Regions from separate parts of the Mus musculus genome. Here all the other regions are reported to be linked to region 1. The links are microRNA targets in miRTarBase. Many come from high-throughput screens and were not tested one by one. Region 1 holds a microRNA gene; each other region holds the end of a gene's coding sequence.

Region 1 (3,237 bases):
ACTCTGCAAAGCCTATGCTGCTTTGGTTTCCGGGGTGGGGATAAAAAGTGACTCCCCTTACGACCTTCCCGCGACCCAACCTCCTCCGAGTGTGTCCGAGGCAGCTCGGGGCCAGGTCCTCATCCCACAGAGGGCTAGCCTGGGGTCTCCGCAGAGCGCTGCCACTCAGCCAATCGAGCATGGGCAAAGAGAGAAAGGCAAACCTAGGGACACTCACCAAGCGGTGGCCGCCCCGCCGGCTCGCGACGCGCCAGGCGCGCGGGGCTGCCCAGGTGGCGCCGCGAAGCGGGCTCGAGTTTGAAAGTCGCTCTCGGAAGCGGCAGAGGCCGCCGGCCGCTCCCGCCCACGGCTGGCCGCCCCGCGGTCCCAGCCTCTGCTCGCTGCGAGCACCAGACGCCGGGGGACCCCCGAAATGCGCACGGTTCCCCAGCACCGGGCAGGAAGTTGCGGCCGGAGTCCAGGCTGCGGCGGGAGGGAGGGAGGGAGAGAGAGAGGGAGAGGGAGGGAGCCAGGGAGGGGCGGACCAGGAATGTTTCCAGTGGGTGGAGACTGCGCTCGCGGCTGCGATCCAGCAATTGGCGGCTCTGGGGGGCCCGGGGGAACCTTCGCGGCGGTGCGAGCGAGCTGTGGCTCCCGCTGTAGACAGCGGCCGCCGTGGCTAATGATTAACGCGCGTGGCCCGCCGTGTGGGTCCCGCTGGCCGCCTCCCCTTGCCACCTGGAACTCTGGGATCCCAAGGCGCACGTGGTGGGGTTACTCTAGTGCCACCGCCCTGATATCACGCCGAGAGGGCAACGAAAGCCTCCAGACCAGGTTCCGACCAGAGAGGACTCGGAGCCCAGCCACCTAGACTTTCCCAGGAGAAGCGCAGGTCTAGGTGGCAAGGGCGTCCTGGTCCTACTGGAGCAGGTCACCACGACCGCTGAGTCAGAAAGGCACGTCTCGAATTCCTCGCCGAAACTAGGTTTCGGTGGCTCTTTACAGTTGTAAAATCTTACCTTCTGAGGAGAAAGAGATAAGAAGCGCATAACTTGGGGCGGGGCGGGGCGCGGCGCTCAGTGGGACTGTTAATGAGAAAAACTGATCGAGGAACCTGAATGTCAGTGGACCCCATTTTGAGTGCGATCTATCAACAAAAGGCATGTACCGGGAAATTAGGGGATGGGAAAATTGGGGGATGATTAGCACAAGCACATAGAATACAAACCAGTTAGATTTTGAGCAAGAACATAAATCTTTTGTGTGGTTTTTGTTTTTGAAGCAGGATTTCAATTATCTGAGACTGGCAGAGGGTAATCTTGAGAGTAATGGTTCTCCACCCTCTATCTCCGGAGTGCTGGGATTACTGGTGTGCACCACCACGCCCTAATTATTGTTTTTATTTTATTTTTTGATTTGAAACAGGCCCACACTTTGTAGCCCAAGCTAGCCCAGAACTCTTGAGTGATCCCCCAGAGTGCTAGAATTATAGGTGTGCGCTACTACACCTCACTAAGAATAAATCTTTCATTGGTAAAGATCTTAGGGGAGGTAGCATTAGATGCTGTCCCCAGTACGCACCATGAAGAGGGGTAGGAGATGGGAGCCCAGTGTGAGATCACAGAAGAAGTAGGACTCCTGCGTTAAACGATGGCACCAGGTTCTTGGAACAGGAATGGAGAATCGACCCCAGTAACTCAGCATTTAGACCGCCAAGTGTAGACAAGTGAAAATCCTAAATAGCTTATAAAATCCCCTCCTCCACCACTGCCCTCAAAAAAAAAAAAAAAAAAAGCTGCCCCAGGGAAAAGCAAGCACCTAGTGATTTACGGGGAGGGGCGGGGCAGAGAGAGAGGAAATGGCTTTCAGGTGACTTTGAAACGGGATCCCTGGGAAGAGTAAAGATTAAAGTAGTCCTTGCTCCTGACTGCGGGAGGGCCAGAAAGTAAGGCTCACGTTACTTAGTCCACAGGTTAGGCTTGAAGAGCGGCAGACTAGAGGACAGCACTGGTGAGAAACAAGATTACCCGGGAACGGGGGAGAGAGATAAAACTACGGGGTGGGATGGGAAAGGGAGAAGCCCCACTCCTTCCCACCTCGAACTTTCTGGGTTTCTGGTTTCTTCTCTAATCTGTTAAATCTTACCAGTCCTTTCCTACTAATCTTAAACTCCCAACTTCCAAAGACGTCCCCCAGCCCCAATCCAGAGATTTAAAACTTTTGAATGTATGACTGGCTCCTTAGCTAGAAAAGAAAAATAAAATGTTGATGATAGTAATGGTTAGGGAATGGTGCTACCAAGTGCACTGCACTTTATAATCACTAAGGCAGGAATACACTTACTCCCATTTTGCAGGAAGAATACTGAGGCTCTAAGGATGGAGCAGTCTGGCCAAGATCAATTGCATCAAGGGGCGTAGTCTGAGGGGGCGACACTGGAGTGCTTACTGTGTTAACCTTTGAGCATTTTACAAGAACAATTGCGGTTACAGGAGAAACTGAGGCTTGGTCATACTGCTAGTGGGTGGTAGAGCTGGGAGTTTCTACCCACAGGGAAAACTGCATTTAGCCAGCCAGCTCTTTCTCCACTTCCTTCTAGACACTTGTTAGTCCATTCTGAACTTGATTCTAAAGCCTCGAGTTGTTTCTAATTGCTTTAATTTATATGCCCATTTCCTGAAAAGATTGTAATCTTACTATGCAGAACTTGTAAGAAGCATTCAATAAGGCCATGCTGGAGCCAGATGAAACAAGCAAGATTTTATAAAAAATCAGTTTCCTACCTCCAAGCCTCCAAGAGTCAGTGTCAGGACCAGGGTCTCAAGCCGAGCCGCAGCCCCCTTCTCAGCGTTGAGCCTTTCTGCCTTCCCACCAGCTCTTGCTTCAGCGAGCGGCCTCGCCCTGCTATTAAATCATTTATTATTATAATAACACCTTGAGTCTCAGTAATGCCTTTAATCTGAGGTCTCAGGGTGTCTAACAAATACAAATTAATTCATCATCTCAGCCCCTCCACTTGGAAGGGAGAATGGAGGTGTTCTCCCTAGTTTATGGATGAGAAAACCAAACAACCAGAGTCAAGATGACTCACAGGGAACCAATGCAGTTTCTCATCCCTTGCCTCTGACCGCCTGCTACCAAGCCTCGCATGAAAGCTTCAAATCCCAGACGCCAAGGCCATTGAGTTTTCACAATTGTCATTTCTGCTGCTCCACTGTGAACATCAGGAAAGGGAGGGATGTAAACACAGGCAAGAGA
Region 2 (3,000 bases), not on the chromosome of region 1:
AAAATACTGTATAATCTTGGATTTTAAGAAGTTGGCATTGTTAGTGTGAACTTCTGTTTTGTGATATTGGGGGTTTGGGAGGAACTGTGGTAAGTTTCTCTTTTAGTGTGTTACCCTAGTCTGAGCTTTTTATATTAAAAACTATTTTAAAAAAACCAGGAAGGCAAGATTTAACTTTGGCTCCAATCCTATGAAAAAAATTTCTCATTCAAATGAAATGAACCTAGTCAATGAATGCATGTTCAAGCTTCACAGTGTACTCACCAAAGAACTACTTTACTTTTGTTTGAAACTCAAAGAACCCATTCTCCCAAAGCACAGATCAACAGAAGGTGACTGGAGGCCAAGCAGAGCAAACTCAGGAAGATACTGCAGCACGGGGAAAGGCCAAGCAGCCCATTATCTCTGCGCTGGCCTTGTTGGCACTGGCACATTTCTATTGGACAGGGCTACAGTTGTTTTCAGTGACTCAAAGAAAAGGTACAGTTACTACAAGAAGCCAGTGACATAGTAACAAGATTTCTGTTGTGTGTCTCGAAACCAGTAGGTACTAGATAAACTGTGTTCCCATTCACCGCTTGCCTGACTAGTGTACCTGCTGCAGATGTGTCTTTGGATCCCCGGTTTTTACAGGTTCATGGGGCAGTTCTATTTTGGCGTTGGCTCAATACAATAAAGGACCAAGAGGAAGGAGCATGTGGCTACTGTCGGTTGTGTCCTAATATTAATGAGTTACAGGTGAGCTTAATTAGATTTAGGGAAGCTTGTTGGGGTTGTCAGCTAGTATGAAAAGGACCAACGGGACTGTCAATTTTAATGAATCACAAAATACAGCTGTTACCATTGACTAAGTATATATTTAAACATTTTCTGACCAGGTAAGAATATTTTAGGGTTTCTCTTTTCTAGCTAAGGAGTCTTACACAAGCTTTTAACACTTTGACTGTTAACACCCATCAGACTGTTCTAGCAATCCTTTTTGATAACGGTTACTACTAGTTAGAGGGGATTCCCTCCATTCAGAGTATGTTGGAGAAATAAAATTAATACCAGACTTTGGAAATATACATAGGCAAGGACAGTATTTCACATCCAATTCCATTTTAAAAACAAAAATAATTTTAATTAAAACAATTTCTTGGCATTGTTCAAAAACATTATAAGACTCTCTTTACAAAAGAAAACTTCTCATCTTGGTTTGAAAAAAAGCAAACCATTAAGCTACATCAGTCCTAAGATGATGGACAGCCTCCGCAGTCACACGAGAACTGCGTTTGCTTTCTTATTACACAGTCAGTTAGTGCCTTCAGCTAGAGCCTGGGCTTGTGTATTTGTTTTATGCATATTGGGTCTTGTTGTATTACTTGGCAGGAGCCTGTACTCCCTCGAGTCAGCTGTGTTCATTGGTCAGAACACATTCCAGTATCTGACATCAATTCCATTAATCACGGACAGGCATGAGTAAGTGACTGAGATAACTCAACAGTGAACAGTGCCTGGCTATGCATTCTATTCAGTGATACAAGGTCAGAGATCCTCTGAATTCAAGATACATGAAATGGCACTTAGAAAAGGATAAAGTCTTCTTACATCAAACAGGTAATACATGATTACTAATACTCTTAATGCTTCCACCTTGAAAAAATTTAGATGAATTTCCACATGAAGCCATCTTTGTTATTTCTTTACTTATTTACAAGTGATTGGGCACTTAGAATGAGTTGGGATATTTCACAATTGTACAGCACAAGATTTAGTTCTAGATGCAGCTAATTAGCATTTACTTTCTCAAATGTCATATCTAACAGTGTGTAAGCTGCTCTGTGTAAAACAAATAGCTGTCCTGCTGAAAATGACCACACGGGAGGTTCACTACACATCACTGAAGAGACTGCCCTGTGAGATGCTCTTTCTTCTTTTAACTGGACATTGTATAAGGTTATAATAGTTTATTCACATACCACATCATTTTTAACTATTTAGGATTTAAATATACTGGGAAAAAGTTGGCTTCAATAGTCATTAATTCAAGTCTTAGAATTCAAATTGCACTTTAAATTTGTATATACAAACATTTTACTTAAAAATGATTTTAAATCTTAAAACTTGAAACAATAGCATAGAGATGTCATAACCTACTTTTATTCCATTATATTTCAAATCTTTATGTATCAGGAATTTACAGAAGCTCAACCTACTCTTACTTGCTTCTTGATACAATCTAAACCAGCAGACATGTTTTTTCTTTTATACTAAAGGCTGCTTTTTATTTAATGATTGGATATTTAGGCAGGTCACATACTTTATAAAACCATGCCTAAAATTTTCATTTCCACTCTATCCAAGAAGCAAAAATGTATAATTGTTATCAAAGGTACAACTGGAGGTTCCCATACTGGAAAATCAATTACATATATAATGTTATACAGAATGTACAAATGTACATACTGGAGAACTGCACAAGCCATCAATCAAAGTCCACTTTCAGTTTGAACAATCTCTTGGGAGAACCCCTGAGTCCGTGTCTTCCTGATCAAATCACAAGTGAAATTAACTTTTGTAAAGGCAGTTCTGATTCTGTTGATCCAGGTAATGCAGTGGCGGCAGGTTGGATAAAGGTAAGATTTTGCTTTTATTTTCACCAAATGCTGTCTCACTTGATTTAGGAGGGCTTGGGAATACCCAGGAATTATCTTCCAGAGAATTTCTCCCATAGGAGCTGTGCTCTGGAAAGTCTGCACCGTCATTAGGAACCAATCTCTCGTTATCTGTCCATGACTGAAGAACTGCTTTGTCTGAGAAAACCTTTCTATCTCCTGGTAAAGGGGAAGACGGAGCATAACAAGGAGCTTTGCCATTTGGTGACAAAGAGGGATGTCTTTTGTAAGTTGCAGTAAAATTTGTCAAGTGCAATTTCGTGCTGTCTCTCCCAAGGTCTTCAACACATCCTACTGGGGTACAGGCTAAAAAGAAAGCACAGCTATGTGTCAGTCTTCTAGA
Region 3 (3,237 bases), not on the chromosome of region 1:
ATAATGTTTAAAATGCCAACTAGCTGGGTGGTAATGGGGCATGCCTTGGGAAGCCGAGGCAAGAGGCTAACCTGATCTACAGAGCGAGTTCCAAGATAGCCGGGGCTACACAGAGAAACCCTGTCTCGAAAAAAAAAAACAATAAAATACCCAGCTGAAAGCAATCAGACTTTCTGGGGCAGCTCAGGTTGCTCTTGGGAACTGGCTCACTCCATGTTGCTGCCTCCACACCCTGCAGCCCCCAGCAGACGGCTCTGCTTTCATTTCAGAAACCCAAGTCTGACACGGTGAGGACTTCCCTCCGCCTACTCACGTCCAGTGCCTACCGGCTCCAGTCGGAGTGCAGAAAGGCTCTCCCAGGAGACTCCAGCTTACCCACAGATGTGCAGCTGGTCACACAGCAGGTCATCCAGTGTGCCTATGACATCGCCAAGGCCGCCAAACAGCTGGTCACAATCACCACCAAAGAGAACAGCAGCTGAGCTCGGGTGCTGTCTGCCTGCCCATAGACTATACACGAACTCTTCAGATTTTTACAAAACATTTAATGATGATTTCAGACTTTTTAAAAGAAAGCTCAGTATTATTTTTTGCATGTTTTCTAACAGATTTTTGACTGTAATTTAACCCTTGCCTTATTTGTGCCTATTTGCAACTTAGTTCTGTCCTGTCAGATTGTCACCAAGTGCTTAGGTCATGACCCCATGTGTTCAAAAGTCATTGTTCCAAGTGTGTTACAACTTTCCTGTCCTTTACAATCTCTACCCATGCCTAAAGCTATAATTGATATTTTTAGTAAAACATTTTCTTAAGAGATAAGAAAGTTGGATTTAAAAACAAAAACAAAAACCCCAGCAGCAGCAGCAGCATCCGTCCCTTCCAAGCATCGTGCAGTCAATCAGGAAGCTTCCCTTCCATCCTGTGGGGTCTCTCCATGTGCACGAGGAGCAGAGCTTCCCACTTCCTAGAGAGAGCGCATCTCTTGGGAGTGACAAGGAGCGGATCCATTTCTAACTCTTGTATCATGTTAAGTGTTGTCTTATTTAATATTTTTATCTTGATTTTCTATCTATAAAGATTTTACCATCATGCTGATGTCTCCATAATGTCCAAAAAAGTAGTTAGAAATCCACCCTTTACATCAGCTTCCAGTCGGCCACATTCAGAGCAGGAGCACCGCCCACTGTCAGGGGCCTGCTTCCCCGCCAAGCCAGACAGTTTACTTAGAACCCTGAGTCAGTTTCACAGGCCGTGCTGCTGACATCCTCCACACGGCTCCTCTGGAAGGATGTCTTCCCAGGTAAGACGCAGGGCCTCCGTGTCCCCATCCCCTCACGGGTAGTTCATGATTAGAACTCCTGTGGCGCTGCACGAAGAGTTCCCCGTGTGCCCTAGCTGGTGGCAGCTCCCCCACAGCTCCCCAAGGGCAGAGGTTGACACCCAGGCCACCGCAGCACTGGCGCTCGCTGTGCTGAAGGCACTTTGTCGATCGCTTCTGCCTGGGTGGAGCTCTGGCCCTGACCTGAGGGAGCAGGCAGTGGCTATGTTGCCAGCCAGGTGCACAGACAGCCAAGGGCGGCTAGGGACCCCACCCAGCCTGTGAGGACAGCAGCTTGTCCCACTCATACCCCTCATGCAGCTGTAGAAAAGTAGCCTGTGGCTGCCAGTGCTTTGGTTTTTCAAGGAACCAGAAGTTTGAGTTATTTCTTGACATTTTTCTTTTCTTTTCTTTTCTTTTTTTTTTTTTTGGTTTTTCGAGACAAGGTTTCTCTGTGTAGCCCTGGCTGTCGTGGAACTCACTTTGTAGACCAGGCTGTCCTGGAACTCAGAAATCCACCTGCCTCTGCCTCCTGAGTGCTGGGATTAAAGGCGTACGCCACCACCGCCAGGCTTCATGACATTTTTCTAATCAGAAATGTGGACAGTCAATCCAGACATGCCCACTGAACAGGCTGCCCATCTCAGCCTCCGCTGGGGTCTGTAACCTGCACATGAGTGAACCTGTCAGCCAGCCCTGGAAGGCAGCATCAGTCTCCCATAGAACGACCAAAGTGAGGTGACCTCAGTATGCTGAGCCTGCCTCATAGTCCCTCTTACAACATGGCCAATGCATCCTGGAGACAGCATCACCTCAACGTGAGGCTCACAGCTCGGAGGAAAGGCTCAGCGCTCCAGGGGCCTGCCCACTCATCGATACACACAAGCCTAAGTGCTGGAGGATGTCCAGCAGGGCCTTTTAGAAAGGGGCCGGCCAGTGTGAGCTCAGGCATCCTCTCTGACAAGCTTTTCTGCGTGCTCCAAGGATGACTGCTCTTCCTGGCAGGCTCCCTGGAGCTGGTTCCAGCCTGAGCTGGTTCCCACCATCCCCAGAGAGAGCAGGCCTCTGTTGGAAGCTTCCGGGAAGAGAACTGTTAGAGGTGGAGTGGTGCAGTCCCGTTAAGTCACGAAGAAGAATGCTGTCCTTGAGAAATCAAAGAACACGGGGCCAGTACAGCATTTCCAGACGCTCTCAAGAACACCAGTCAGTCCCATGTCCTCCTCAGGCTGAAGGCCCTGTGTGGAGGCCTGAGGAGACAGCAGGAGGGGCCCCACACAGTCCCTCCTGAGACCTGGCTGGGGTTAGAGCATACTGTTCCTGTGGGCAAATGCGTTTTGTCTCAAAGCTCGCCCTGGCCGTTTTTGGGTTTTTTGCACGTGGGTCTCATCGCCTCGCAGGAGTGAGCTCTGCATCCAATCTGGCTGCTCTCTCCCCTCTCTGGGATTCTGCCTTCCCACCTGTGTACCCCACTTTCTAAGATGGAGAGGATGAAGACACAATTAATGGAGCAGGCCCTGCCTCAAGCTCCGTTCCCGGAAGGCACTGTGGCCTCAGCACCACGGTCTTTACTTGCCAAAGACGAAGTCCAGTGTTGCGTGCACTCGGGACTCTTAACGGCACAGCGCAGGGGCTCTGCCCTGACCTCAGTGACTTCCATCATGGAATGCAGCCTGAAAGCCGCGTGTTTTCATCCTCCACAGCTTCGGTGGGCTCGCAGTGCAGTTTCCTTTCCTTCTTTGTCCTAGCTGGCTATCACCCACGCTCTTACAAAGCAAAGTGCAGCATAGAGAAAAGAGCATTGCATACCTGGTGTTAAGCCCCCTCGCTCCTCCTCCTCTGGTGGCTTCTCAGCATCCTGAAGTTACTGTCCCTGCCTGTAAAATCCTTCTGGAATCTGTGCCCCACTGGTTATGCAATAA
Region 4 (3,237 bases), not on the chromosome of region 1:
AGCACTATACAGGCAGCTGCTACCAGTCCCCGGCCCTGGAGGGCATCAGACAGGAGCATCGCAGCAAGCAGCAGTGCCACCGGGAAGGGGGCTTCTGGCATGGCTTTGACATCTCGGGCCACTCCTTCCTCTTGACCTTCTGTGCGCTCATGATTGTGGAAGAGATGGCCGTGCTGCATGAGGTGAAGACGGACCGCGGCCACCACCTCCATGCCGCCATCACCACCCTGGTTGTCGCCCTGGGTTTCCTGACCTTCATCTGGGTGTGGATGTTTCTGTGCACAGCCGTTTATTTCCACGACTTGACCCAGAAAGTGTTCGGCACCATGTTTGGTTTGTTGGGCTGGTACGGAACATATGGGTATTGGTATCTGAAGTCTTTCTCTCCAGGACTTCCTCCCCAGAGTTGTAGTTTGACTTTGAAGCGAGATACTTACAAGAAATGAAAGAGAAGGACATAGGGACAGGAGGACAATGGCTAATAGGATTCCCACGTACTTTGTCCAGTACAGAATTATCTGTCCCATTTCAGAGAGGGCCCTTACTAGGTACCTTTGGTGTGGGGGGCGCTTGGGGAACAAGCTTAGTTGGCAGACTCTGCTGGCGGTGCCACCATGTTGCCAGCAGTGCTACTCCTGTCAGATTCTTCTCATCTATGGCAAGATGTGACCTTAATCTGTCCCCAGAGGGAGAGCTGAGGCTCAGCAGAGGGAGAGCAGCCTGCCTCATCGTGTGGGTCAAGAGAGAATCAGGGCTTCAGGATTCTCTGCTGTGGCCTCCCCGGCTCTGCTTCTCTTTAGAGTTTAGAGGCCACAGTAATGCTGTTCTTCTAACAGCTTCCCCATGGCCAACTCTGAGATAAGCCTTTGTCTCTGGCAGGCTCTTTGTTAAATACCCCAATGCCTCAAGGACACTCTCTGGCTGTAGCATCCGCGTCCTCTGTGGAATGTTGACATTTCACCTGGCCATGATTCCCAACAGGGGCCCATGACCCCGAAGTGCCTGGATGGTTGTTGTTGTTGTTTCTCTGTGTAGCCCTGCGTGTTCTGGAACTCACTCTGTAGACCAGGCTGGCCTCAGACTCAGAGATCTGCCTGCCTCTGCCTCCCGAGTGCTGGGATTAAAGCTGTGTCCACCACGGCCTGGCCTGGCACTTGGATGGTTTCTTTTTCTGTCCACACTATGTATCGTTATGTCTTGGGGTTTGGAGCAGTAACAGAGAACCCCATTTTCTCTCTTCTCTCCTGAGTGACTGCCCTATGGTTTTAATCATTACTACTCTATTTGTTCTCTGTTGGCAAAGCTCCAGTGTCACCCACACCTTGGCATGTGAAAATTGTTTTGAGGGTTTTTTTTGTTTTGTTTTGTTTTGTTTTGTTTTAGAACACTAACTTTTTGTATAAACCAAATTCTTGGCTTGTCATATGAAATTGCACCTCATAGGAATGTTCCCTCTCTTAGAAATATAACTGGAGGCCGGGAGGCACGGTGCTGCACGCCTCTAATCCCAGCACCGGGAAGGCAGAGGCAGGCAGATCTCTGTGAGGTTGAGGTTACCTTGCCAGGGCCACATTGTGAGCTCCTGACTGGAAGAAGAAAGAAGGAAGGAAGGAATAAAACTGAGAAGCAGACTTGTATTAGTTGATGAATGTTAAGCTGAGAGAGCAACTCAGTGCTCACTTGTTCTGAGGCTTTCCTGCCCACTGGCTGGTGATAGAGACACAATAGGGTTTGGGGACCTCATAGGACCACAGGACAAGTGCCACAGCCTAAGGGATTTTTACCTTTGGAGATTATGATAATATAGAAGTGAGAGCAAATGTTTCCCTCTGATGCAGGAAGCCAGCCAGCACGCAAAGCCGCCTGTATTACATACAACCACCATGCCAAATCAGCCATATTACATAGCGCCATGACTTTGGCCCTGCCTCTTTTCTTCAGCTCACAGACAGAACAACCCTAGGAGGGGGTGTTCAATAGCCATGAGAGTCTTTTCTTGAAGCACTTCCCGGCTTCCAGCCATGGTGTTCACCGTGACTGTTAGGGTAAGAAGTCTTGTCACCCACGTCCCATGCGGCAGGCTTCCAGTCTGATGAGAAGGGCCCTGTCCTCCCCCGGGTGATCTCCTTAAGCCTGGCACAGCTGAGCCCCTGGCCTTTTGGATGATGGTCCTTGAAGCTGCTTTGATGCCTCCTCCCTAGCAGAGCTGGCTAATGACATTACCTGATAAGCTTTGGCCCTGACCCTGACTGGCCTGACTCAAGTTCGGGTTATTAGGCACTTAGTAAATTAAGAGACAGCTCTTTCTTTTTCTTTTAATTTTAGTATTTTTTTTAATTTCTAGTTTAATTTAATCTTTTGAGGCAGGGTCTTACTATTCAGTCCTGGCTGGCCTGGAACTCACTATGTAGACCAGGCTGGTCTCAGACTCACAGAGATCTACCTGCCTGCCTCGGTTTCCTAAGTGCTGGGATTAAAGGTATATATACTAAGATTAAAGCCACCACATCTGGCTACTAAGTAATTTTTAAAATATAATAATCTATTTAAAATATGTATTTTATATCCTGTTGAACTACAGGTCAACTTGACCAATTACTATTTAAGATGTAAGATGTTGTCACCAAAGGTGAAGAAAGGCAGGCAGAAAGGGGTCCCCATGATGTTTTGCTCTGTTGACAGTGGACTGAAAGGATATTTGACTTCCTGGGAGTGTCTATCCATCTCCCCACGGTAGGAATGGGTCTGGGGATGATGGTAGGGCTGGTCCCCAGGTAAAGACTCTCAAGCTGCATGTTCACAACAGAAGGGGGCAGACACAGGATGTGGCCAGAGGCTCATTTGTCACACTGGGGCTCCGGGCATTTTCCTCACGTGATCTGACCAGTTTTAACATTGAGTCGACAACACGTGGGAATTCACAGTTGCTCATTGTTCTCTGCATATCAGATGGATGAAATCACACATGCTTATACTTGACACTCCTCCCTCTCTGCTCTGGGTGGGGTGGTGCCCAGGGTTCTGAGCCACACCCCAAGTTCCTCAGAGCCCTCACCTTCTCAGGAGCATGCCTCTCCTGCCGTGTGAGGAGGCGTGGCATGGGTGAGTGTTTGGGCTTGGGCTGCCATGAGGTGCAGGTGTGAACGTTGGCATCCCTCCCAAACCACCTGACCAGCGTGCAAGCCCTTGTTGGCCTTGTCAGTAAAATGGAGGCGATTCTTTGAGCACTGAAAGGAA

Evidence for each region. Region 1 holds the annotated microRNA mmu-miR-5135 (AGGUCUAGGUGGCAAGGGCGUCCU, at 870-893, shown strand). A microRNA usually pairs through its seed, bases 2 to 8, with sites in the 3' UTR of a target mRNA and lowers its output. Matches are read on the target gene's strand: a 7mer-m8 pairs with bases 2 to 8, a 7mer-A1 pairs with bases 2 to 7 and ends in A, and an 8mer does both.
Region 2: the mRNA of Azi2 is a reported target of mmu-miR-5135. The part of its 3' UTR that is shown has no 7-base or 8-base seed match.
Region 3: miRTarBase lists Git2 as a target of mmu-miR-5135. Seed matches in the 3' UTR shown: 7mer-A1 at 1,805-1,811.
Region 4: miRTarBase lists Fitm2 as a target of mmu-miR-5135. Seed matches in the 3' UTR shown: 7mer-A1 at 1,062-1,068.

What each region holds. Positions count from the first base shown.
Region 1 is chr12:76,530,799-76,534,035 of GRCm38, reverse strand. Mir5135 (microRNA 5135) reads left to right here and starts at 824; the gene lies at 824-902. Plekhg3 (pleckstrin homology domain containing, family G (with RhoGef domain) member 3) reads right to left here and starts at 476. Exons shown (of 19, transcript NM_153804.4): 1 at 218-476.
Region 2 is chr9:118,061,677-118,064,676 of GRCm38, reverse strand. Azi2 (5-azacytidine induced gene 2) reads right to left here. Exons shown (of 8, transcript NM_013727.4): 8 at 1-2,963. The coding sequence ends at 2,551. Cmc1 (COX assembly mitochondrial protein 1) reads left to right here. Exons shown (of 4, transcript NM_026442.3): 4 at 1-155. Among named protein-coding and RNA genes, the nearest start is that of Gm51660, 10 kb to the left of the region's middle.
Region 3 is chr5:114,727,427-114,730,663 of GRCm38, reverse strand. Git2 (GIT ArfGAP 2) reads left to right here. Exons shown (of 20, transcript NM_001347400.1): 20 at 270-3,237. The coding sequence ends at 482. Among named protein-coding and RNA genes, the nearest start is that of Mir7028, 9.5 kb to the right of the region's middle.
Region 4 is chr2:163,466,712-163,469,948 of GRCm38, reverse strand. It overlaps Fitm2 (fat storage-inducing transmembrane protein 2), which reads left to right. Exons shown (of 2, transcript NM_173397.4): 2 at 1-1,246. The coding sequence ends at 446. Among named protein-coding and RNA genes, the nearest start is that of 2310001K24Rik, 4.2 kb to the left of the region's middle.